2 linked regions of the Styela clava genome follow. The main gene of each other region encodes a partner of the protein of the gene in region 2 in a complex. Links are inferred from orthologs where the notes say so. Each region holds a gene or a part of one and is shown on either strand. Other genes may lie near its edges. The genes, in order: uncharacterized protein LOC120338085 and RNA polymerase-associated protein CTR9 homolog.

What was found.
Region 1: RNA polymerase-associated protein CTR9 homolog (region 2) and uncharacterized protein LOC120338085 share a complex: the UniProt entries of both Caenorhabditis elegans proteins name them as parts of the PAF1 complex. The link is inferred for Styela clava from reciprocal best matches to the Caenorhabditis elegans genes ctr-9 and leo-1.

The regions. Positions count from the first base shown.
Region 1 is NC_135250.1:1,318,838-1,330,645, forward strand, and holds the start of uncharacterized protein LOC120338085, read left to right. Parts: upstream 1-5,680; 5' UTR 5,681-5,698; coding exon 5,699-5,821; intron 5,822-6,088; coding exon 6,089-6,194; intron 6,195-8,122; coding exon 8,123-8,179; intron 8,180-8,359; coding exon 8,360-8,515; intron 8,516-9,699; coding exon 9,700-9,917; intron 9,918-11,808. Other genes in the region: ganglioside-induced differentiation-associated protein 2-like, read left to right, coding at 498-2,111. UniProt on the Caenorhabditis elegans protein: Component of the PAF1 complex which is a multifunctional complex involved in transcription initiation via genetic interactions with TATA-binding proteins, elongation and transcription-coupled histone modification.
Region 2 is NC_135263.1:4,072,600-4,084,398, reverse strand, and holds RNA polymerase-associated protein CTR9 homolog, read right to left. Parts: upstream 5,044-11,799; 5' UTR 4,525-5,043; coding exon 1,476-4,524; intron 1,082-1,475; coding exon 879-1,081; 3' UTR 18-878; downstream 1-17. Other genes in the region: polyisoprenoid diphosphate/phosphate phosphohydrolase PLPP6-like, read right to left, coding at 6,192-6,809. UniProt on the Caenorhabditis elegans protein: Component of the PAF1 complex which is a multifunctional complex involved in transcription initiation via genetic interactions with TATA-binding proteins, elongation and transcription-coupled histone modification.

The sequences.
Region 1 (11,808 bases), on a different chromosome or scaffold from region 2:
TCTACATTTGAGTTATTTTTTCTGGTAACTATTATTTTTACATTATTATTTGTATTGAGAGTATACTTCGTTTAAATATTTGGTAGTTACTAGTCGACGGTTACTTTATATATTTTTTCTCAATAATTATTTGGCTGGAATGGGTGGTGGGCGGTGGGCGGTGGCTGACTTTGATGAATTTTGGTCGTATCGCCATCTCCCAGTCTATACCAAAATAAATGCTGTGTAATTTATTATTTTAAAATTTATTTGTATTAATGTATTCTGATTGACAAAAATAATAAACTCTCTCTCTTTCCGGCGGCTAACTTTTAAAACTATTTTCTTTGACTATGTTTGGTTAGGTCATGTCTCGCTTTTCTTTAATGTAGTTAAACCAAATTAAAACTAAAACTATAATTTTCAAACTTGTTTCAGTCCTGTAATCAGTAAATTTTACTTATAAAATGGATATTATTAGCTAATATGTTTTAACAATCTGCTTCATATATGACTGTATGATGGATCCATTGGGTGCGATATGCGGGACTCGAGATTGTGTGGTCATTGACGATTTAGTGTCTTGGCAAAAGACTTGTGAGAGTTTACATGGAGTTGATGATGCTACGTCTGTGGACACTGAAAATACAGACAATTTAAAGTTGGAATATCATTTTCGAGAGGATATAAATTCAAAAATATTTCTTTGGAATGGAGATATAACAAAGGTAGCAGTACAAGCATTGATTCTTCCAGTTTACGAAGTTTTAAGCAAATCTTCCCCACTTTCGCAAAATCTTCAGTATTCTGCTGGTCCAAGACTAATTGCAGACGTGCGTAAAATTATCGGGCTTCGAACTAGCGAAGTTCGTGTTCTGCCTGGATATAATTTACCAACGAGATATGCAATTCATACTGTGGAGCCAAGGTATAATCCAAAGTTTTATTCAGCGGCTGATACAGCATTACATATTTGTTATAGAACAGCCTTGCAGGTTTGCGCTGAAAGGGGGCTTCGTACTGTTGCAATTTCACCCTTGCATATAACAAGGAAGGGTTTTCCTCTTGTAACAGGAAGTCATATTGCTTTGCGGACAATTCGGAAATGTATCGAAATGTTGGGAACAAAATTTGATGCCGTTATCATAGTAACAGACCCAACAGTAGTAGATTCCTACTCAAAGCTATTTCCAACATATTTTCCGAGATCTGTAAATGAGGCGCATGCAGAATTAAAAAATGTACCCAACAACGTTTTTTGCAACGAGTGGGGGGAACTATTTCAAGAGGAACGAGCTATTCGGATCGCTGATATATCGGAAATACAACCTGAAGAAAATCAAAATGTCATGCATGATTCAGAAGTTGATGACAACATTAAAAATAATTCTGAAATTGTAATTGACGAACGAGTGACTCAGCATTCTTTTGCTCAAATGTCAGGCGACCATGACGGAAAACGTCGATTCATGATGCTATACAGTATGCAGAGACAGACGCTGCAATCCCAGGAAAGGATTTACCAAAGGCTGTTACGAATTTCTAGAAATGAGAATTTTTCAAAATTTTCTTTACTTGGTGCAATTAAAATTTCTGGAAGAGATGTAAACGGCAATGTTGTTATTTCAATAATTGGAAAACACCTCAATTTTTATGAGATTGATTTAGAAAAGTTTCTTTTATACCTCATTTTGACCTTTGACCCTATTGTGAACAATCCGTACACTGTTGTGTACTTTCACACGCAGACGCTAGAGTTCAATCGACCTACTTCAGAATATTTGAAGAAATTATACAATACTTTTGATTATCGCTATAAATCGAATCTTTCTAGATTATGTATGGTCCATACCAACACGATGATGAAAATTACAACTTGGATTTTTGCGTCATTTTCCGTCAGTGACCTCAAAAGTCGGATTATGAATATTCGATCAGTGCCGGAATTGTATAAAATCGTCCCACCGAATCAAATTGATGTTCCCCCGTTTGTGTTGACCTATGATATGAAAACGAATCCTCAAGCCTACAGTTCTTCTCCTACGAGAAGTCCAACAAATTCATTGGGACAAAGGAATGCAAAACCTACTAGAGTGTCAGACTTCAACCAAGTTGCCCATGGAACACTCTGACTTTATTTTCACGAAGGGCTGTTACTTTGTTACATGAGTTAGTTAGGCCAGTGGTTCTCAAACTTCCTTAATCCATGACCCCTTCCCAAAGACTATCAACACTTCATGGTTTCCCTGCTCTTTTCAGTATAAAAATAGTTTATTTTTAACAGGTTTTATCAGTTATTCGCTTCATCATGTTCAATGAAGCCAACAAAGGAAAGCAAACTAATAAATGCTTTACGTTCGAAGATTTAAACAATCACAGTTTATTTTCTATGTCTTAATGTGGCGAATGCTACCTTATAAAAGTCTTTGCTTTGGTCTTCATAGTACTTCTTCATGTAGGACTGTAAGGGTCCAATTTGAGTTTGGCCTATGTGTTATTTTGCTAAATCAAATCACTGTTTTTTTTGGGAGAAAAATCACTTATTATTCTTCAAATACTGGCCCCCCAATCTGATTTCCATGAAGTATAATTTCTCAGCCATACAATTGACAGCAACCATTTTATTATCTTTTTTAATCCTTGGTGCATTTTCATTGCAATTGACTTGAGATTTTTCCTAAATTTACAAGTTTTTTTGTTTCTATACTATTTTTCTATCAATGGGATTACGATTATGTTGCATGGACATATCTTAAGTTTAGTATATCTTATCCAAACTTGAAAGAAAACATGACGAAAAATAACAGCATTCTGTACTTGTAAATTATATTTGGTTTTTCTGGCCAGTCATGCACCATTAATTTTAGTAGGCTATTAGAGAAATTGCAATAGTTAGTAAATCAAGCCAGACTTCAGCTGCCCCACAAATGTTTTTAGTTTTAATCAACTGGAAATATTTTACTCGTTCACTTAAGTCGTTCCCAACCTTGTTTGTTAAACTAGCAATATAGGGTGTTCATAAAGTCTTCTGAATTTTTTTAAAATTGCAGAGGGTATTTATCGATACCATATATTGTTTTGCCCTCACAGATGTATTAAATGAAGTAAAAGTACTTGAACAATTACTGATTAACATACAACAATTTTGGTTAAGATATATTGAGAACTGACTTCATTACAGAATTGAAAATTGTAAAAGGAATTATGGACAACCTGTACTGCAGCACATACAAATTCTTCCCTAAGAAAGACAAAATTTCTCACAGGGTGGAAATTGAAGTATTTCTGCATATTGTTTCAGTTTGATAGTATAAAACCTCATATATTTTCAAATTGAGCAAATCTTGGATTGAAATAAGATAGAGCAACTGAATAATAGTTCAACCCAACTTTTTCATATGTTTGTTTAATGCAAAGTCACAAGTCTAACAGGAAAGTAACCAAACCTGATATTTTGTGTGAATCAATGTCCCCAAATATTTCTAAAAAATTTTATGTTGATCCATATTTTTTGTGTCAAATTATAGTCATATTAATTACCATTGTTGCATCATGAATAGTTTCATTATGAGCTGTGAACTTAAATCCTGTGACATCATACGTATCCAATTATTGTGCAATATTACATTATATCATGTTGGGTTCTGTAGTTTATACGTACTACACTCCTTTTTATCTGTGTTTGAGCAGTATTTGAATATTTATATTCATATCTAAATTTGCTTAACTGTAATGCAGTGGTTTCCAAATTGCGGCGTAATAAAGGCTCATGTAAGGATTTGATATGGCCCGCTGAAATAGTTCAACACCCCAATTGTTATGTCATCATCACAGTTTAAGCATGTGTATATTAGTAGCAATTCACTTATACCGGTATCTTAATTATACAAGCCGTTATCAACCTTTTGTGGGCGTTCCCCTTTCCCGCCCCGCAAATTTCATTCCGCTTCTAATTTTGGCCCCTCAGAATACAAATTTCTCTTTTTCTATGAAGACTACCGTATATGCTCGTTTTACTGCCCGATCTTGATTAAGGGCCCGTTTGAATAGCTGCCCGTGTGAACAGAACATAAAAATAAATAAGAGCCGGTGCTTGAATACCCACCCGATGTAAAAGCTGATTTTTCAGTGGTAGAGAACAATAGGAAATAAGAAGCGCTTTTGTCACAACGCTGTTGAATTTTGGGCGCCGGTAGATAACACTCACGCGTTAGGCGTCCGAGTACATAACAGATAGCATTGATTACATAACACCATGGTTCTCAAACTGGGTGTCGCGTCCCAAGTGCAATATTGATAGGGCGTCGCAAAGCTTTTCTTTTGCGGATTTGTACCTGCGGTCCGTAGAAAAAGTCAAAGTTTTCGTTGTTCTTGTTTAAATCATACTTGAGAACTGGAAATAACAATATATTAATTATTGTAACGATCGAAAATAACAAGCGCCCGTGCTTGAATAAGGGCCCGGTTAGTGAGTTGGTTGAAAACAATATGGGCCCGGGCTACGGAATGAGCAAATACGGTATATTCTGTTTTGCATTGATAGCCTTTTGATTAGGCCTTCTCATATTCTTATCATTTTCTGGCTCAGGCGCCAATACTATATTCTGTGGCATTTACGGCCTTTTAATTGAGCCGTCCTATAGGCTTTCTTTCCCCCAAAATAAAATGGGAAAAAAGAAGATTATAATTCAAGTTTAGGCTCCTTTACCATATTCTGTATTCCATTAATTGTCCTTCAATTGAGCCATTTTACACCTTTCCTCTCCTCAAGATATAAATTGAAAAAAGTGCTCTACCGGCTTTCCACCCCTCAGAATAATTATGAAAAGCAAATAATTCTGCCTTAAGTGCCGTTGCTGTACTCTATTCATTTTTTTTCTCGATTAAACCATATTATTTACTTTTTCCACTCTTCTGTCTAAATGACATAGAGTCTAATTGATTGTGATCCAGTGGTTCTCAAACTTTGTGAAACTTTCTCTTCTTAGAATTAGTCAAAAGTTATGCCCACCTCAAAAAATAATTTGCTAAAATGCAAGTTGTAGTAACAGTAAATAACATAAAGTAAGGCGAAAGTATGTTTTATTCAAAAAACATGTTGAAAATATGTGTACTTACTAAAGAAATGTATAGAATAAAGAAATATGAATATCAATATTAAGGCAGGCAAGATCAAACCTAACAAATATTTTTATCCGCAATTGGGCCATTCCAAGCAAAAGTTGAATTCCATCAATTTTTTTTCAAAAGTGTAGTGACACAAAGTGTTTGATTGTGTGATACAGTTATTTCATATGAAATAGACGCACTGAATTTAGGTTAATAAAGTTTAAATGTTTGCAGTGCTGTAAGACATTTCCTCACCCATTCAACGATTTATTACCAGAATTTTAGGAGAAGTTGCATCTATATATTGCATCTAACAACATGCAAAATTTCTGGAATTGTCATGTAGTGTCACTTGGAATAGCCCAATTAGCTTCACTCCTACTTACCCCTTGTGGGGTGTGCCACCATTTGAGAACCACTGGTGTGATCTGTCTACTATCTGTAAACCATTTCACTGATAACTTTGCAAGCTTTTATGTTAAAAACCTTTATTGACTGATTATAATCACTTTCTTATGAATTGAATGTAAAATTGTTTATTTTTTGTATAAAAACCATGATTTGAATTTTGATTTTGCATTTAAGACCTTTAGTGTAAAATTTATATATAATGGACGAAGAATTATTTGGGGAGGGAAGTAGCAGTGAGGAAGAGCATGAAGAGGGAGTAGAGAACACAACAGAACAACAACAAGAAAGTGCAGAAGAAGAATCAAGTGATGGCGGAGAGGAGGTTAGGAGTTGTATGTTGGAACATGGTATCCCGTCCAGTTGAATAGGGGATCACGATACCCATCAGTGATTTATTTCAGATGCATGGACTTGATGGTGGAGAAAACTGCAACTGACAAGCATTCAATGAACCACCCTACTACGGAGAGAAGTCTAGCAATCTTCTTGCACATAATTACTGCCACAAGATTAAACAAAATTACTCACGCAACGTTGTATAATAATTTTTGGTTACCCATAAAAGATTCATTGTTTTTCTATGTTTTAGGAGGCTGACCAGAATGTGGCAAGTGGAAGTGGATCTGAAGCAGAGTCAAAGGAAAGCTCGGCAGAAGAAGAAAAAAGTGGGGAGGAGAGTGCAGGCGAGCAGGAAGGTAAAATAGAGGGAAATGCTCTAATACAGTGGTTTCATATTTTCATGATTCGTGGCCCCATCGAAGACTCTCAATGCTTGGGACCCCCTTCTCTTCCATAAAAACATCTAGTTTTGCTTTTAACTGGTTCATCTGTTTAATATCAAAAAGCCAATAAATAAAAGTGAGGAAACATTTGCATTGCAGTCAGAGAATATAAAATTGCAATCACATTTCATGTGAATATTCCCTCAAATTAAAATAAAACAGCAAAATTTTTGGTAAAATTCTGAATTCTTGATATAATTTTCAGAAATTGAAGTCTCATAATATTGCCAACGGGCCATTATCTTGGAATTCTTGGAAACTCATAAGAGATATAAAACTAATCAAAATTCAGATTCAAACTTTGTAAATAAACATTGACTACTATGTGTTCTTTTGACAGACTTCAGAATATATTCTATTTTCCATGATTTCAAATTTTATTTTAGAATGCATTTGAACTCATTAATTACTTTGTTTTAAAATTTCACATGACATAACACTATCATGTTGTCGCGAAAAATGCCTTCAATATTTGACATTTCATTGCTCGTGATTGATTACCTATGACATAATAACTATAAATGTCAAAAGATAGTGGGTGTGAGTTGTGATAGCATAATGCTAATTAGCATTTGTTTATGACAAAACAGTCATGCATTAAAACTTTTAACCCCATGGTATTACGTGAATGAATGAATCTAAAATCATACGACAACGGGAAATGTATTGTTATGTGTGTGTACAAGGATGGCTAAAACTGAATTGAATTGAGCCGTGGTGACAATAAATTCTATACAGTAATGGCTTAGTAATGGATCCACATTTTATGATAAACTCTCCATTGTTTCCATTTCTTTCATCTCGTGCAATTTATGATAAACAGCTCAAGTTTAAACGAAGTTTATGTGTGTCATTCACTAATTTTTTAACCTTCTGTTACCTAATTATTTCGTGTCGTGGTCCCAACCCAAGTACAAATCTTTGCGTGTTTCATGAGATTTATTGTAAAAACATCAATTGGCGATTAATTCCCTATTTTCCCATTGGGGCATGGACATGTCATAAACTTACTATTGTGCATATCGTCGTTGTGTCGTACCTCTTTGTCTTGTGTATTAAACCAGAGTTTTATTTGTATATTTCATGTCTGTTGTCCTACTATAACGCAGCAGTCCTAAACTGCTGTTATACTTGTTAGGGGTGCTACACATCCGTGTGTTAGGCCAGTAAGGTCTTGTACACGTATCTCGTCTTTGTTTTACTGTTTAACTATTATGCAGGTACTGTTACATTTTTGAGGCAAGTAAACATACATACATACAACTATTCCAGCCTACATTTAAAAATAGTAGTATGTAATATTCCAAGTATTTTAAATGAGCCATGTTTAATTAAGAATATACAAAAGCCAATATGGTTGTTCAATGGTATACAGACGTTCCGTCCGTTTTTAAGCGTTTTAGCAGTGTTCTTGGTGTTTTTAGACGGTTTTTCACTGTTTTTAAGCGTTTTAGCAGAGTTCTTAGTGTTTTTAGACAGTTTTTCACTGTTATTAAGCGTTTTAGAAGGGTTATTGATGTTTTTAGACGGTTTTTCACTGTTTTCAAGCGTTTTAGAAGGGTTATTGGTGTTTTTAGACAGTTTTTCACTGTTTTTAAGCAGGCTTTCGCGCAAGCTGAAGTGAGGAGATACATTTATCAACAATGCAATAGTAAACCATGTTTGAAGTTAAAGTTTAACTAAACAACTTCATGTACGGACCTCAAGCAAATAAGTGATTAATTATACCCATACCCAACCTGATATCACAATAGGGTCATTTTTTTTAAACTTTGCTCGTCTTGGAATGAAAATCTTATTCGCTCATTTAAAGGTTTTTTAAAACCTATCATTTTACACAGCGAGTGATGAAGAAAATGCTGAAGAAACCGAAGACAAAGAAACTCAAGAAGCATCAGGTATTTATATTACCGGTTAAACAAACTTAAAAAATATTAGTAAAACTACACACAAATATAGAGTACACCCCCCCCCCCCAAAAAAAAAAAAACATTTAGATTTAGATAGATGACTGTAGGGAAACGCTGCTGAGCCCGATTTGTTCATAAGAAATCTTAATATTCTCAAATTTGTTTCAGGCAATGATAGTTCTGATGGGGAGGAGGAGGCGGAAGGGGCTGCAGAGGCTTCAGGGGGAGAAGAAAGTCCTACAGCAGCACAAGAAGAATCTGATGAAGGTGGGAGTGAAGCTGGAGGGGAAACCCCTGTACACTCAGATTCTGATGGTGAAGCAGGTCTGTGCTGGTTTTGTGCTTAATAATATGATATTGATTAATATTTTGTAATACTTACGAGAGGCAAAATCGGGCCCAAAAATTTCAGCTCGGCCCAGGTCCGCTGGTATTAAACCCGACCCAGCCCGAGCATGACTAATTAACTGGATTTGCAGGCTTGAAGCAAACCCAAACTTTTATTACTTATCGATCTTAAGATCGGTAAGTATGTTGATAGGTATTTGTCTGTATGTTAGATGCATGCGATATTTCACGAAAGCGAGGTTGAATCTGCTCCAAATTTTGCATGTGCATTCATCATAGCTCGGATCAGAAGCCTATTGATTTTGGATGGATTATGTCTTATAATTAGCGAGTTATTAATTAATTAGTGATGGGACACACGGTGTCACTATGGAGTAAGACCACTGTTTTGGGGGATCCCCTAACCTTCGATCGATAAGTCTTCGGTTTCTAACCGATATTCTAGTTTAGGTGTTCTTTGAATTGTCATTGCAAGAGTTTAGTACAGTATGTTTTATTACAAGTATTCCCTAGTTTAGTCTCCACACATAGTTTTAGTATATATTTTTTATAAACATATATTTATTAAAAAATGAAAAGTCAGCAATAGAGAAAGCCGGCCCGATCGTAATGATTGACAATTCAGGCCAAATTTGGGGTCAGGCTAAGGCTTCAGATCTTAGCTCCAATACTCACACAACTGAAATTTGTTTCACTCTGAACAGGACTCGCAGCAGCAGTTATAAAGCAGCGCTGATGTGTAAAAAAATAGCTCTTAGGTGTAATCAGTCTGTGGAAATTTTGCTACCAAATTTAATATGGTTTAATATTTTGTATAATGATTCTTTGTTTATGAGGCGTTTTCAAACTTATACTTTACCCAAAGAATCTTCTGAAGTAAGATAATAGTATTTGTAGGGGATCTTCTGAAAAACATGCAAAAACCTTGAAAAAACGTCCAAATTTCATGAAAAACTGTGTTAAATCACCAAAAAGATATATTTTAAGTTCGGCCATAAGTGATTGAGATGTTAATAGGGTGGACATTGATTATGAAAGTTTGAGAACTACTGTGCAAGGCGCCACGTCTATTCAGCATAGATACACCAGCTACAGTTCAATAGCTGTGAAAAAAGTCATAAACTATTGAATACCTGGTTTCAATATTTTAAAAATTTCAGAACAACTTGAAACATCTGCTGACGCTGCAAAATCTGAGGAAGAAGACAGTGATGGGGATAATAAAGAAACAAAGGAGACTGCTGAGAGTGGGAGCGAAGAGGAAGAAGATAATAAAGAAACAAAAGATTCTGATTCTGGGAGTGATATTGGTGGGAAAAGACCAAAATTAACTGGAGGAAGTGACGCAAGTTCAAGTGATGAAAATGCTGGAGACCCGGTTAGTGATAACTTTTCTTTGTGAATGTTGAACTTTGAACTATGGATCATTGTTCTGAGACTGAGTTGGTAAATACCTCATTTTCTAAAGACGATTTGCTCCTAACAATGTTACACTCACTTACACAGATATAAAGAAAGACTCATCTCTGAGTTAATTGACTGCAGACTATTAAGATCGCAAGAAGTAAAATTATATAGATTCATGTTAGTGCATTATGCCCCACTAAATACTTATTCAAGCAATTTTTCATGTCAATTTTATGAGGTAAAAATAATCCAATCAGCTCAACAATTTAAGTATTATGGTAATAATGTAGAAAAAAATAGTACAAAGCAAAATCTCTCCGCAAGAGCAACAAAATTTCTTTGTTGGGAGTAATTGCTGTTCAATTGGGAAACGTGGCTCATGGTAGACCACTATGTATTTTTATCATAATTTGTCACAACATGGAATTTCTACAATTTGTATGCTGAATTGAATTTTATTCTTGTAACTTATGGGTATTCCCATAGTATGTGTACCAGGTTAGGGTAAGGCCATAATTTTATTCCGATTTTTCTTAGTTCTATTACGAGTTCGGGGACTGTTCGTATTAGCCAAGTGAATATACCCCCTGCCCATAGGTTTCAGTCCCTTTACACAACTTGATGTAAAGTAGGCGAACAAAATTAGTTATCTCCATATCGGTACGCATACTTCTAGAGCGCTAACTTATGCCCATATGCAGGGTTGTCCAGAACGAATCGAATATTCGAATGTATTCGAATATCAAAGTATTCGAATACCTTTTCGGCTGATTTTCGAATAATTCCGAATAGTAGCCACTTTTCGCCGTAAACGTGGTGTTTCGTTTTACGGGAATATTCAAACGACTTTTTACGCTGTCTCACTTATTGTAATGACGATGAAATAGAATCGGCATTTTGATTGTTTATATCCTGTGCGACCGTACGTCGCATAGTGTTGCGACATATTTGCACGTTTGCGCGGGTGGACATTGCCGACATTCGTCTACGAGGCTTTTAATTTACAAATTCATTTCCATCACGTCAAAAATTCGTCTAATGAGTCGCTTTTCTAGGCGGGGTGGGGGCGTCTAATTGAGAAAGTATGTTTATTTTATTTCGATGTGGCCTGCTTATTATTCGCATGAGTCTTCTCAAACATGATTTGTGTAACCTTATATTTGGGTCTTAGGGTCTGCCAATCATGATATTTAATCGCAGGCCGGTTATCGTTACTTTAAAGAGAAACACGGCCACCGAGATAAAGTGATTTGTGACCCTTTCGTTTTGCCGATTCAGCAGAACACGACAGGGACAGGAAAACACAGCTGTGAAATAACCCGTGGACGTACAGTGTAGTACTTATCACATTTGAAAATTATTTCAACATTCGGGTTAATAGGTTGTCCAAAATGATTGCCGCTTTACAACTTAATTTTACCGCTCAATTGTTAAATATAGTTAAATGATCTGGTTCTAAACATATAGAATTATTAGCGCATATTAGCATAACTGAACAACAAGGACACAATTTTTTTACCCGTCTTATTGGAGGCCTATATGGAAAAACCCCTTTTTTGAGTGCTAAAAATAGACATCGTCCTATTTGCCATGTGGACTTATTAGTCGGGAAATACGGTATTTATAGCCGTAATTGTTACGTATCCAATAAATTATCACAAGTTGGAAAAACAAGTCGATTTATTAGAAAATAATTTCTGGCAAATAATTTTGATAACGATAGTCAAAAGTATCGATCCTTCACCAAGATGATTTTTGTTGCGCAAAATAATCCAATCCATGACTGGTAACAGCATTTATTAAAATGTCATGCTGTATTAATTTAATTCTGTTCAACGTAACTCATGGTTGTATCGACAATC
Region 2 (11,799 bases):
AAAAGGCTGGGCGTAAGTTCGAATATGATCACTTAATTAATATCTTCTTGGTAGTAAACAGGGATGTCAGTTAAATAAATTTCAAATAAATAATGGAATTATTGTTTTCTCAAGTTATTTTCCATAGTGACAAATCAAATTTATATCAAATTCTATTCAGTTCACGCCATTACTGTTGCAGAATTTCAGAATACCAAAACCGTTTGGGACCTCTTGAAGTATGCGCACCAAGATGGCGCACAACCTGAACCCAGGTTGTGTACCAGGTTGGGGGTCAGGTTGTGTGACATCTTGGTGCGCATACTTCAGGAGTACCACCGTTTGAATGTATAGGAACAAAATCAGAATTTTTCACAAAAACTATCCGAATGACAATTGGATGAGTTCATAACTAAAATCAATGATATGTTTATGTTAAGATGGATGGGAATAGAGCTGGACAAGCATATGAAGTTGGATCCATAACAAACCAATGGCCCACGCAAAAAGTTTTTTAAAAAATACTAAACCAAACACTAACGCATCAAGCTCGAGCGATGTCCGAAGTACTTATTCGAATGTTAATTTCTATTTTGAAATGGTATTTCAAAAATTTGAATAATTCATTAAAAACATTGATACAAAATTTGTCAATTTCGAAGATAAATAACAGTTTTGAGTCAAATATTTTAACACAATTTTGACATATAAAATTCTTGGTTTCGAAGGACTTCGTTTTTGGTTTTTGAGAATTGAGATAACTGATCAAAACTATTAATTTCAAATTTTAGCTTTTGAGAAGAAATAACAAACTGGTTCAAATTCATGAAGAAAAACATACATCAAAATTTGCAACAAAATAAATCTAATTCCGAATTATTCAAATATCAACATTCCTATTAATCACTGGAGTCAGCGCCAGACGCTGCTTCTTGCTCAGACTCATGTTGATTGTCCTCGGAAGCTCTGTTTTCCGATGAGTCATCAGACTGGTTATGTGCCGCTGCTTCGCTTTCTGACCCACTCGCTGCAATAGGGTAGGCTGCAGGTGATCCCTCTTCTTCACTAGATGATTGTAACAGCTTTTTGCCACCACTTGCACCTGGAATGCAAATAATTAGAATGAAGATAGACATTTTTTATACTTATGGAGAGGAAAACTGATACGATGGGGTAACAATATGGCAAAACACGACTTCTATTCTGGTTAATAGGAAAATAGTTAACAAGTTGATCTTTCAGTATACATAAACCTGAATGATGTCGAAACGACCTGTAAAACATGACTAGTCCAGCGATAGCAAAAGTCCAACAATGCTCTCGCACAAAATCATCTCCCCCGAAGAAAATCAATCAGTCTCTAGTATAAACCTACACAATAACGCAAGAGTGGTTGTACTATCAGCATAAGTGCATGCTACCTTTCTTTGAAATAATTCTCACAAAAAAATTTCCAATTTATATATATATAAAATCCAATATGCAAATATTTTCACCTGGTGCATCGTTTGCCGGTGGGCCCTCTCCGCCACTGCTTGAAGATGTGTCTGAAATATATGCCCTTGACTTGACCTTCATCTTTTGTTTCATCGATAATTTATCCACAGGAGCTGGCTTTGATTTCGCTTGCTTTTTAGAAGTCTTCTTTCCTCTGTCATTGTCTGAATCACTGTCCCCACTCCCTGCTGGTTTTGATCCCCGCTCCCCTTTTGTTTTTAGTTTCTTTTTACGTTTTTTGGTGAGTGGCTCAGCAGTACCTTCAACGTGCATGATTCCAGCATCATCACTACTTCCGTCGTTAATGAAGTGATCAGTCGCTTTGTTTCCGCTTTTTGATTTCTTTTTACGTTTGGGTTCCGAATCCAATTCCAAGGTCTGTGCAACTGATTTGCTTTTTTCTTTAATTTGCGCTCTTTTTTCCATTAACGCTCTCATTTTTTCTTCCTGTGCTTTGATGCGCGACCGTTCCTCTTCAAGTTGTTTCTCTCTCAGTGAAGCTCGCTCTCTCTCCTGTTCTTCACGCAATGCTTTCTCCTCCTCAGCTTGCCTTCTCGCACGAGAAACGTGATACTGAGCTTGAGACAGCAAATCTCGACACTTACTTGCTTCTTTCTCAGATTGTTTGAGATCGAGCTTCATTCTATCACCATGTTTGCTCAAAAACGTAAAATAATTTTGTGCCAATTCTAGTTCAGTCACAGCACGTAGCACAGTCTTCAAATTACTTTTTTCATCTCTCAAAACGTTCATTGCCAACTGTTGCATCACGACCGAAACATTATAAAGCACAACCATGTCGTTTGGAGCTACGTGCCTCGCTTTCATCAGTACCTTCTTACAATCAGTCAACTTGTTGCATTTGAAATAAGCTCTTGCAAGATAAGTTAGTACCTCAGGGTCGTGGTGTTTGTAGAACTTCTTGAGACAATTTTCATACATCTGTACGGCACTTATATATTGCCTTTGCTCAACATAAATATGAGCCAAATTAAGCCAGACATCCGCAACTTCAGCAGTTGCTTCACGAACTTGTGAAAAAATATCCCGAGCCTCCCGAATGTAACCTTTATGTGCAAGTACAGATCCTATTCCGTTCGCAGCAAAGATATTTTTCGGATCATTTCTTAAAACTTGTTTAAACATGGCGAGAGCGCGGTCCTGATGGCGTTTTTCTTTCTCTTTGTCTCTGGTTGGGTTATGAAGGGTCTGAAGCCAGACATTACCGAGAGCAAGCATAGAATAAGCATCGTTTTGTGTTTTCTCATTTTTCAAAATTCTTTCGAACTTTTTCTGTCCAGGTCCCCACTCTTGTTTAGCAAGATGTAAATTCCCAATCAGTGACCAAGCATCTGGATGATCCTGGTTTATTTGTAAAGCTTCTTTAAACCACTCAGAAGCTTCGTAAATCTGACCCCGGTCTCGAGCAAGACAACCAAGCCTCAGATAGCAATCAGTGTAATTCGGATGGTGTCGTAAAATATTTTTATAATGTTCGACAGCAGTTTCGAAATGGTACATTTCCTCGCACAAACGCCCTAGATTGTACTGCATTGTAACTGTTATGGAATGGTAATAAACCTCATCATGATCTGCTTCCGCCATTGCACGCTCCATCGCAGCTTCATAGTACTTTTTCGCTTCTTTTAAATTCCCGAGACGAAAATGAAGAGCGGCGACATTGTTCAAAATCTCAGGTGGGATATCAGCTTGTACGGTGTCCTTGAGTATAGAAGTTGCAGTTCCATAAGCAGCTAGAGCTCCCTGTATGTCAGACTGTTCTAATATCTGAGCAAGCTCGATCCAGGCCTCAACATCATCAGGGTATTGGTCTGTGATTTTCTTTAAATGCTTACAAGCTAATCCCTGCTTTTCTGGGCTGTCAGATTGAGCGTACAGTGATCCCAATATTTTCATTGTCTCGTAGTTGTTTGGGTAAGCTTTCAGCACCTTTTCGAAACATTCAGCAGCTCTTTCCTTATCTTGTTCTTCTCCTTTGAAAATATACATTTGTCCTAAACCATAATAAGGCATGACAAAATTCGGAGTTGCAAACTGTGTTGCTTGGTAATAATACTGAAAAGCTTGGTCATAATCTTCTTGTACGTGAAAACTTCTTGCCAACTGATAACAGCTTTCTGCTTGAACAGCCTCATTTTCAGTATTATGGAATGCATGCAACGCAAGATGTTGAACTTTTTCGTAATCTTTTTTGAAGAAAAAATGGTTTGCAAGGTGGTTAAGCACCATTGGGCTACTAGCGTCGATTTGATAGGCACGAGAAAGTCTCTGAATCCCGGCACGGATCGAATCAACGTCCTTGTTATTAAGATCAAGTATAGCAAGTCCAACGAGACCTCCGACACATACCGGGTCTAAATCTACTGCGCGTTGAAAAGCTTGTCTTGCTTTGTCAAGTTTATTGAGTTTGTAAAAGCAATGTCCCATTCCTAGTCTCACATCAGCAGGGCAGTTTGGATTTGTCCTCAAAGCTTTTTTGTAATATGCCAAGGCGCCTTTGTAATCTTTTTTATTAAAAGAAATACAAGCTTTGCCGAGAAGAGAAGGAATATTATCTGGTGATTGGTTCATTACAAAATTAAACTGAGCGTCAGCTTGGTCCATTTTGTCACCTTCAAGCAAGCAAAAGCAAGCACGACCAAGCAAATGATTCTGGTCGTACATAATAATCTTGTCAGCCATGGTATAAAGCTGTGTGGCTTGCATAAATAGGTCAGTTCTTTTATCTTTGTTCTTTTCTTTACGAGCTTGTTGAACATAATATGCAGCCAGTGTATCGAGGCAAGTCATCTGGTCTTTCTCATGATTGTGATATTCGAGATTCGCATTCGTTCGAGCGGACTCTAAAATCTTTACAAATTCTTCTACTTTGGTTTGTTTGTAGTATTCAAGCGCCAATGTTATCCATATATTCAGAGTTGTGTTTTCTTGTTTTAAAATTCCCAAAACCTCTTCACCCTCTGGCAATTGAGCCAAGTCAAGTTCAATGACTTCATCAGTGTCACGAAGTGGGATTTCAACAGACATTATGATGTCACAATTTCAATATTTTTTCAAAAAGTCAATCAAGAATGCTTTGTCAACATCAACAACCAAAGTTTAAATAATTGACAATCGGAAATCTCAATTCAATTTTGGGTGAAGAAAAATCCTCACACAGTCTTAGTATTAAGTATAATTGTAATTTCAGTCGCTCTCTCCAAGATTCCCACTACTGGTCCCACTTTGAAATGACAGTTTTTTTCTTTTTCACACTGGGATCATAGACGTACTTTCTGTTATTGAATAAGTACAATCCCAAAGTTGTGGCGATCATAAAACCATAGACTCCGTATCCAAGTTTCTTTCTTCCTGTCAAACCTGACCACCAGTCTCTTATCTCACCCATGATAACATTTCTGATAATGATACCTGATAAAAAGTTTGATAAAGATGATAATGCAGAGTTCAAAATTAATAAATTATTCGATTATGTGAATTCATTGATTGGTATTAGAAAACAAATTAAAAGTATTTATGGCTAAGTACCTACGGTAACTAATGCACATGGTGTCCGAAAAAATTTAGCTCGATTTTATAGTAACAATTAACAGATTACTTTTTTTTTGTTTATTAATATTTTTCATTGTGCTTGTAGTTTATCATGCAATAAAATTTTTGGATACCCTGTATATTCGGACAGTAAAATCCTCCAGAAGCAATGCCCAAATATGATGAGACAAACAAGGGCTCTTAAGAGCTCAGCGAAAGTAAGAAAGCAGATAAAATTGATAGCCTATTAAAACACACTTCGATTTTTACCCCTGAATATTTGAAAGTGATTTTCACACACAACAAGAATATTCTGAACAATTAACAGGTTTACTTTGCCCCTAAAAATCTCAAGAGATTCTAAATATCACAGTTAGATAATATTATTGGAATATGAAAAAATTGAGCATAAAAACTGCATGAAGAAGACCAACATTTCATCTATAGTAATCAACAAACATTTGATAGTTATCAAATATATTTATAAGAAAATAAAAATATAACAGCAGCAGCAGAATTAACTGTTACTAAAAACCAATGAAGTATGACAGCTCAAAATAATCTCATTTAAATTAGGGAGTGCGTGAAAATGCCGCCATTTTAAGCTTCAGAAGCCAAAATTAGAAATGTAAGAACATTCGCAGGCTGGAAGAAGGGAGCGCCTGCATGGGCATGACCTATATGTAATTCTAATACCGATATGCATATTTCAAATATAATTGAATTGTTAAGAATATACATGTACGAATACACAATTGGCGACATCTAGAGACACATAAGGTGTTAAAATATTTCACTCAAGTTTGGCGGGCCATATTAAATTTTTTATCCGTTGTTTTGGAAACCACTGGTCTGAATGAACTGACTTGGTCTCGTATTCAATTAACTGCCAGTAAGACTTATGTAGCTCTATGATTGAATCAATTTCGGAACTAGATTAGATGAAGACACTCCAATGACCTGTGATTCAGGGTTCAGCCACTTTTACTCAACATTGGTATTCATTAGTTAGGGATGAGGTTTAGCATAATTACTAAAACTCTTTTCAGAATCACTGCTAGGAATAATAACAAGCATGACCGAGCAGAATAATCTCATTTGGATAACATTAGGCTTGTGCTGAAGTATACTTTAACCAAATAGAGAACATACAAATAAATTAATCACTTTATAAAACTCAAAATAAAATTGCAGTTTTCATAACTGATCCAAAATTTTTCAATCAACACAAATTCAAAATAACCAATTATAAACCCTGCTATAACATCAGTAATGTGATGTCTACCAAGTATAACTCTTGATATTCCAACAACATGGCACCAAACTTGTAACAGGGCTCGTAGAGGGATAGCTAGTTTGATATGATACAAAATAAACCAAGTAACTAAGTAAGCACGGGTGGCATGGCCAGAGGGAAAGGAGAAATTATCTACAGATACAGTAGCAAACATATCATCTTTGTTATAGGCCGGTCGTCGTCTTCGTGCTATAAGTTTTATAGTTCCGACGATGATAAGGTCCATTAATAACGCAATTAGAAGGTTAAAAAACACCTCTTCGTACATGTAATTTCGAGTGTTGTAAAGTACGTATAAAGTAAAAGCTATCCATGGTATTCCGTGGCATGAAAGTTCTAATATTTGCATTATAGGACGAAGCCGTCCTCCTTTTGCATTCACAGCAAGTGACTTTGATAAACTTAGATCAGCAGCAACAAATGTTTTATGCATTATTTCCCATGTTGAATGGCTTTGTGGTCCTTCATCGTCCTTTTCTTTCATGGTTTAGTTTTTTGATCTTGGACTTTTGTTTCTGATCAAAAGCCCAGATCTTGTTGCAAAGGGTATTAATCTAGGATATGTACAGTAACTTATACAATGTAAATGTGTTTCAGTGTTTCTAGACTCTATCTTAAAAAATTATATTACAGTGTTAACAATTTCTGAATTTTGTAACAAGTAAGCAAACAGGTGAGGGAACGCATACTGGCATACCCATAACCACTTTTTTAGACAACACCTTACCATCTAAAATCTGTACCGTACATTTCTAACTTTACCGGTACCGTACTTCTGCACTTTGTTTTGTTTGCTTTCCTGAATCTGTACCGGTAATCAGTTTGACGCGGCGGTGTGGCTCAACGGGCTAAGCGTTAGGAATACGCTCGCCACCGCACCTCTAATCACTCTGCGTGGGTTCGCAGGTTCGAATCCCATGCAGGGATGGTTATGTGCGAGAGGATTGCTGGACTCCTCGCCGTCGTTGGGTGGTTCACGTAACCGCTGGTCGGTTACGGCTTCCTCCACCACCAAGTCCATGCTTCCGAAAAAAACAAACAATACAGTAAAAACTAATCCCATACCCGACTTGGAATGGTAACCGGACGAGAGGCCGTGGTTCGCCATATGGATAAGCCGTCTTATCGGCTTTCCTCTCCCCCGGGATAAATATGTAAATCCTATCCTATCCTATCCTTTGTATCTATTTTATTTTATCGATTATTTTATTGTCTGTTATTCTGATTACTGGATTATGAAGTTGGAACAACTAAGTGCCGTAGTTGAGTGTATTTCGATTTTCCGTTACAACAAAACAATGAAGCAATACTGGGCAAAACAAACAAATATACGGAAAATCAGAAAAGTGGGCAAAATCTAAATAAGATTCAAGACGTACCGGTACTGATGCACGTGCTCACTCAACCCAAACTTATATAAGTTACCGATACATTATTCTGTTATTAGTCACCCAGACAATGCAATCTTAAGCAATCGCCAATACAGCAATACTAAACGAGTTACCGGTACGGTACCATACCGTACTCGATTCTGCTTCAGGCAAGGAAAACGCGATACGGTACCGTCTGCTTAGCTGAGAGGTCTGCGTGGTGACCAGAAGTCAGCTGTCACCCAATTCACACAAACCATAAGTTCGAAAATATCAATTTCCGTGTCAATTATAACTACAAATTGATCATCGCAATATTTATAAATTCGCATTTTTTACTACGGTACGGTAACGTAAATAAAAATATACTTTATATATGGAATAAAATATAAATACTGAAATACCGCAAGGTGCCGCACCAAAATGCACCCGATGTTATATTTTTTTTTTATTGGATTTTTATAAAATAAAACAATATTGCAATAAACAATATCGATCAAAAAACAATACATAACAATGTCATTCCAGATCACTCGATACATGCCTTTTATGTATTTTTATAAAATATAAAACATAATTGCAGTGAACAATATTGAAAAAATACCATTTCATCCTATCTATAAATCAATATTTATCTGGTTATAGCAATTGCAAAGCCTCAACTAGCGAATACTATTATACGCCTATGGATGTTTCTCCAAGCATCGATTTTCTTGTTTATGCTCGTAATAATGACCGCAATAAGTCAACAATGACGTAACAATTGCAATTTGTGTAGCCGCTCAAACACATCTTCCCGGCCAGATATTTTAGCACGGTTGTAAGTATTGCCTCCATCTCCTGGTTTTGCGTTTTATTCGTCAGTTTTCTGTTGTGTTTCCAAAAATTAGTTGTAAGTCAAATGACTTAATCATGAATATGTCTTCCTAGGAGCTTTAGCTTAGCAATATTTAGCCCCGAAAAAGCTGCGATTTCAGTCAAATCGGTAACCCTTTCAGTCAAATCGGTAACCCTTTCATTCATGACTTTTTCGTTCACAACAAATTTTTAGTTTTGTTTTGAAATGAAGTGTTTGCGATGTCAATGGCATAGATACCGGTACTAAAAATGACGCCCGCCTGTGGCTGGGCCACGGAAACATTTTGATGTAGGCCACAGACATATTCAAAATTACTAGTTATATTTGTGTCACGACAGTGAATTTTGATTGTATTAACAATGTATTTTGATATTAGGTATTTGTTGCTACCGAGTGGTAATTTTCATTTTAATTACTAAAGTGAACGTCTCAATTTTTTCGGAGGTCAAAGGTCAGGAAAACATCTATGCCGTGGGGGAAAAGGTCCCTCTTTTTTGTCGAAATTACGCGCGAACCATCTGGAATCGTTTCTTTTGTCAGATTGTGGTATGCTGGACTGGTTTTGATGCACATAGACATTATAGGCTTTCCCCTCCCCCGGGATGAATATGTAAATCCTATCCTAACTCGTGTGGGTTAGTCTCCTTATACAACTTGATGTAAAGTAGGTAAACAAAATTCGTTACCACCATATTGGCACACATACTTCTGGATTGTCCTCATTTTAGCTAGAATAAACATTTTGTTCCAAGGATACTACCACCCTTACGTGGCTTATACCATAGACGCTAACATGGGTATCAAATACATTATGTTTATTTTCCTTTCACCCCCACGTTGGATCTTTCGCCATTTACCCGATGCCTTTATTGCTATAACGCTAAGGATAAGCGATATCCGCATTTTTAGGGCCCAGATAGATGTCTGAAGTTGGTTATATGGCCCACCGACAAAAAATGCTGCACACCCTGCTCTAGTACAGTTGGTGAGTTGCATTCAACTTTTTGGTATTTTGAATATTTATCGAAAGAGGTGCATTGCCCCACGTTTTTGTTTTAGTAAAGTATCGTCTTGTGCATGCACCATGTCTCCAACATTATGCCAGCTCATCTATATTGTTTACAAATTTCAATGTGTCATTATGAATATTCATTAAAATTCCCTGTTGCAGAGATCCCACAGAATTTGGAGCGAACTGAGGAGGGAAATTTATCGCTTTGTTTTAAGTACATTAGCACTTTTTATGATTGTTATACTTGGGGTTACCATATTTTTGTGACCTCAAAGCGGACGCCACCACAGCTGTGAATTTTTCAACTTTAAATTCATCGATTTTACATCAGGGGCCCACATTCAAAACCATCCCGGTTGTCTTCAAGAGTGCATGCGCTGTCTATCTAAAAAGGAATTTACGTTAACGTTAAGCACCCTTGTCCTTTTGGCGTTTACACGTAACAAATTGTAGCAATTATCAGCGGAAAACAACGAAACAAACAAATCCACCTTTATAAGTAGGCTACCGGTACGCTACACCGCAACAACAGTATCGAGAACATGCTAATTGGTAATGTCTTATATTATGCAGACTGGCTGAACGCCAAAGCGGGACTTTAGGCTGACCGGCCGGGACAACGGGGCAAACGTTGAGAAGGGGGACTGTTCCGCCTAAAACGGTACGTATGGCAAGCCTAGTTATACTGTTACTCATGCAATTATTTAGGTAATCTTAAATTTCCTTAATATACACCACTCCACTTTAATCTGATCCAATGTGACACCACGAAACATCTGTCTGATACTATTCAAGCTTCGATCATTTTAAAGTAGGCTACTGCAGATGCTAATAATTAGGAAGTTAAAATCAGCCATATACGTCAATACCAAATCGAAATAAAATTATGGCCCAACCCTAACCATGTTCACATACTACGGGAGTATCGGCAAATCGGTGCTCACGTAGTATTCGTACCAAGATGGCGCACAACCTGTACATAATATGTGTACCAGGTTAGGGTTAGCAGGTTGTGCGCCATATTGGTACGAATACTACGGGAGCGCCGGCAAATTAGCCTCGATGAAAGTGTCTGTTGATGGTAGATTTCACTCGCATCGATTGATGATTTGTACGAGTTATAATTAATAAGCAATTTAAATGAAATCAGAAGACACTCTCTCTGGCTCTATTTATTGCTCGTAATTATGTAAGAATAGTACGAATACACATCAAATAATAACATAGGAATGGACACATGACAGGGATGGTAGTATCGTTAAGACAATGGAATCGTTATCAAAAACAACAATTTATTTGATCCCAATCAAGCATATCTATTTCGTAATCTATTGACTGATTAGATAAATGTGTAATTCTGATAAGTTGAAAGATAAAAAATTACAATTAGGATGGAACGTTGAACCTATGTCTCCTACATTCTCATATGCTGAATCGGCTTCCTTATAAATTTTTACGTTCTAAAAATACAACAAACTGATGAAATACAAAAGAAAAAATGAACATGTTAGTGACGTCATCATTCATATCATGTGATGATGTCATACGCTTCAGAAATGTATCTAATTGCAACATGACGGCCAAATCTGGAGAAGTTATAACGTAATAATTGCATGCTGTGCCAATATAAGATCAAAAATAAAATAATATTTCCGAATAAAAAAACGAATAATACTTGATAAAATATCCGACAATACAGGGAAGATAAAATATTTTTACAGGTGTTATTCCTCAGGAATGCATGTACTAAAATCCGGAACAGAAGATTGCAAAGAAAAAACGATTATTCGGTCTTTTCGAATGATAAAATGTGATTAGGTACACAACAACAAGTGCCAATGTACTTGCAAGGACATCCGTAAATTTTAATTGAAAAACAATAAAAGAAAACTCGGAACACTGGCTTTTGTATGGAATTCATATACTGGTTGATACAATTATGGCTATATTATACACGAATATCTCTTTTTTCGATGTTAACTTTTTCGATTTAAATTTCTCTTTCCAATATGATATGAAGGGAATATTATTTATTGTAAAATTCTCGACTATAGTAGAAAAAATGGTCTTGTCACATACGATCCAGAATGTACATGTGAAATATGCAAAAACTCGCTCATTGAATGATCAAATCTTTTTACAAAATGACAAAATCCAAGAAAAACGTCAAATAAAAATAAGTTTATTTTATTGATGACATAACTAAAGCAATACTTTTCAATATAAGTGAGTT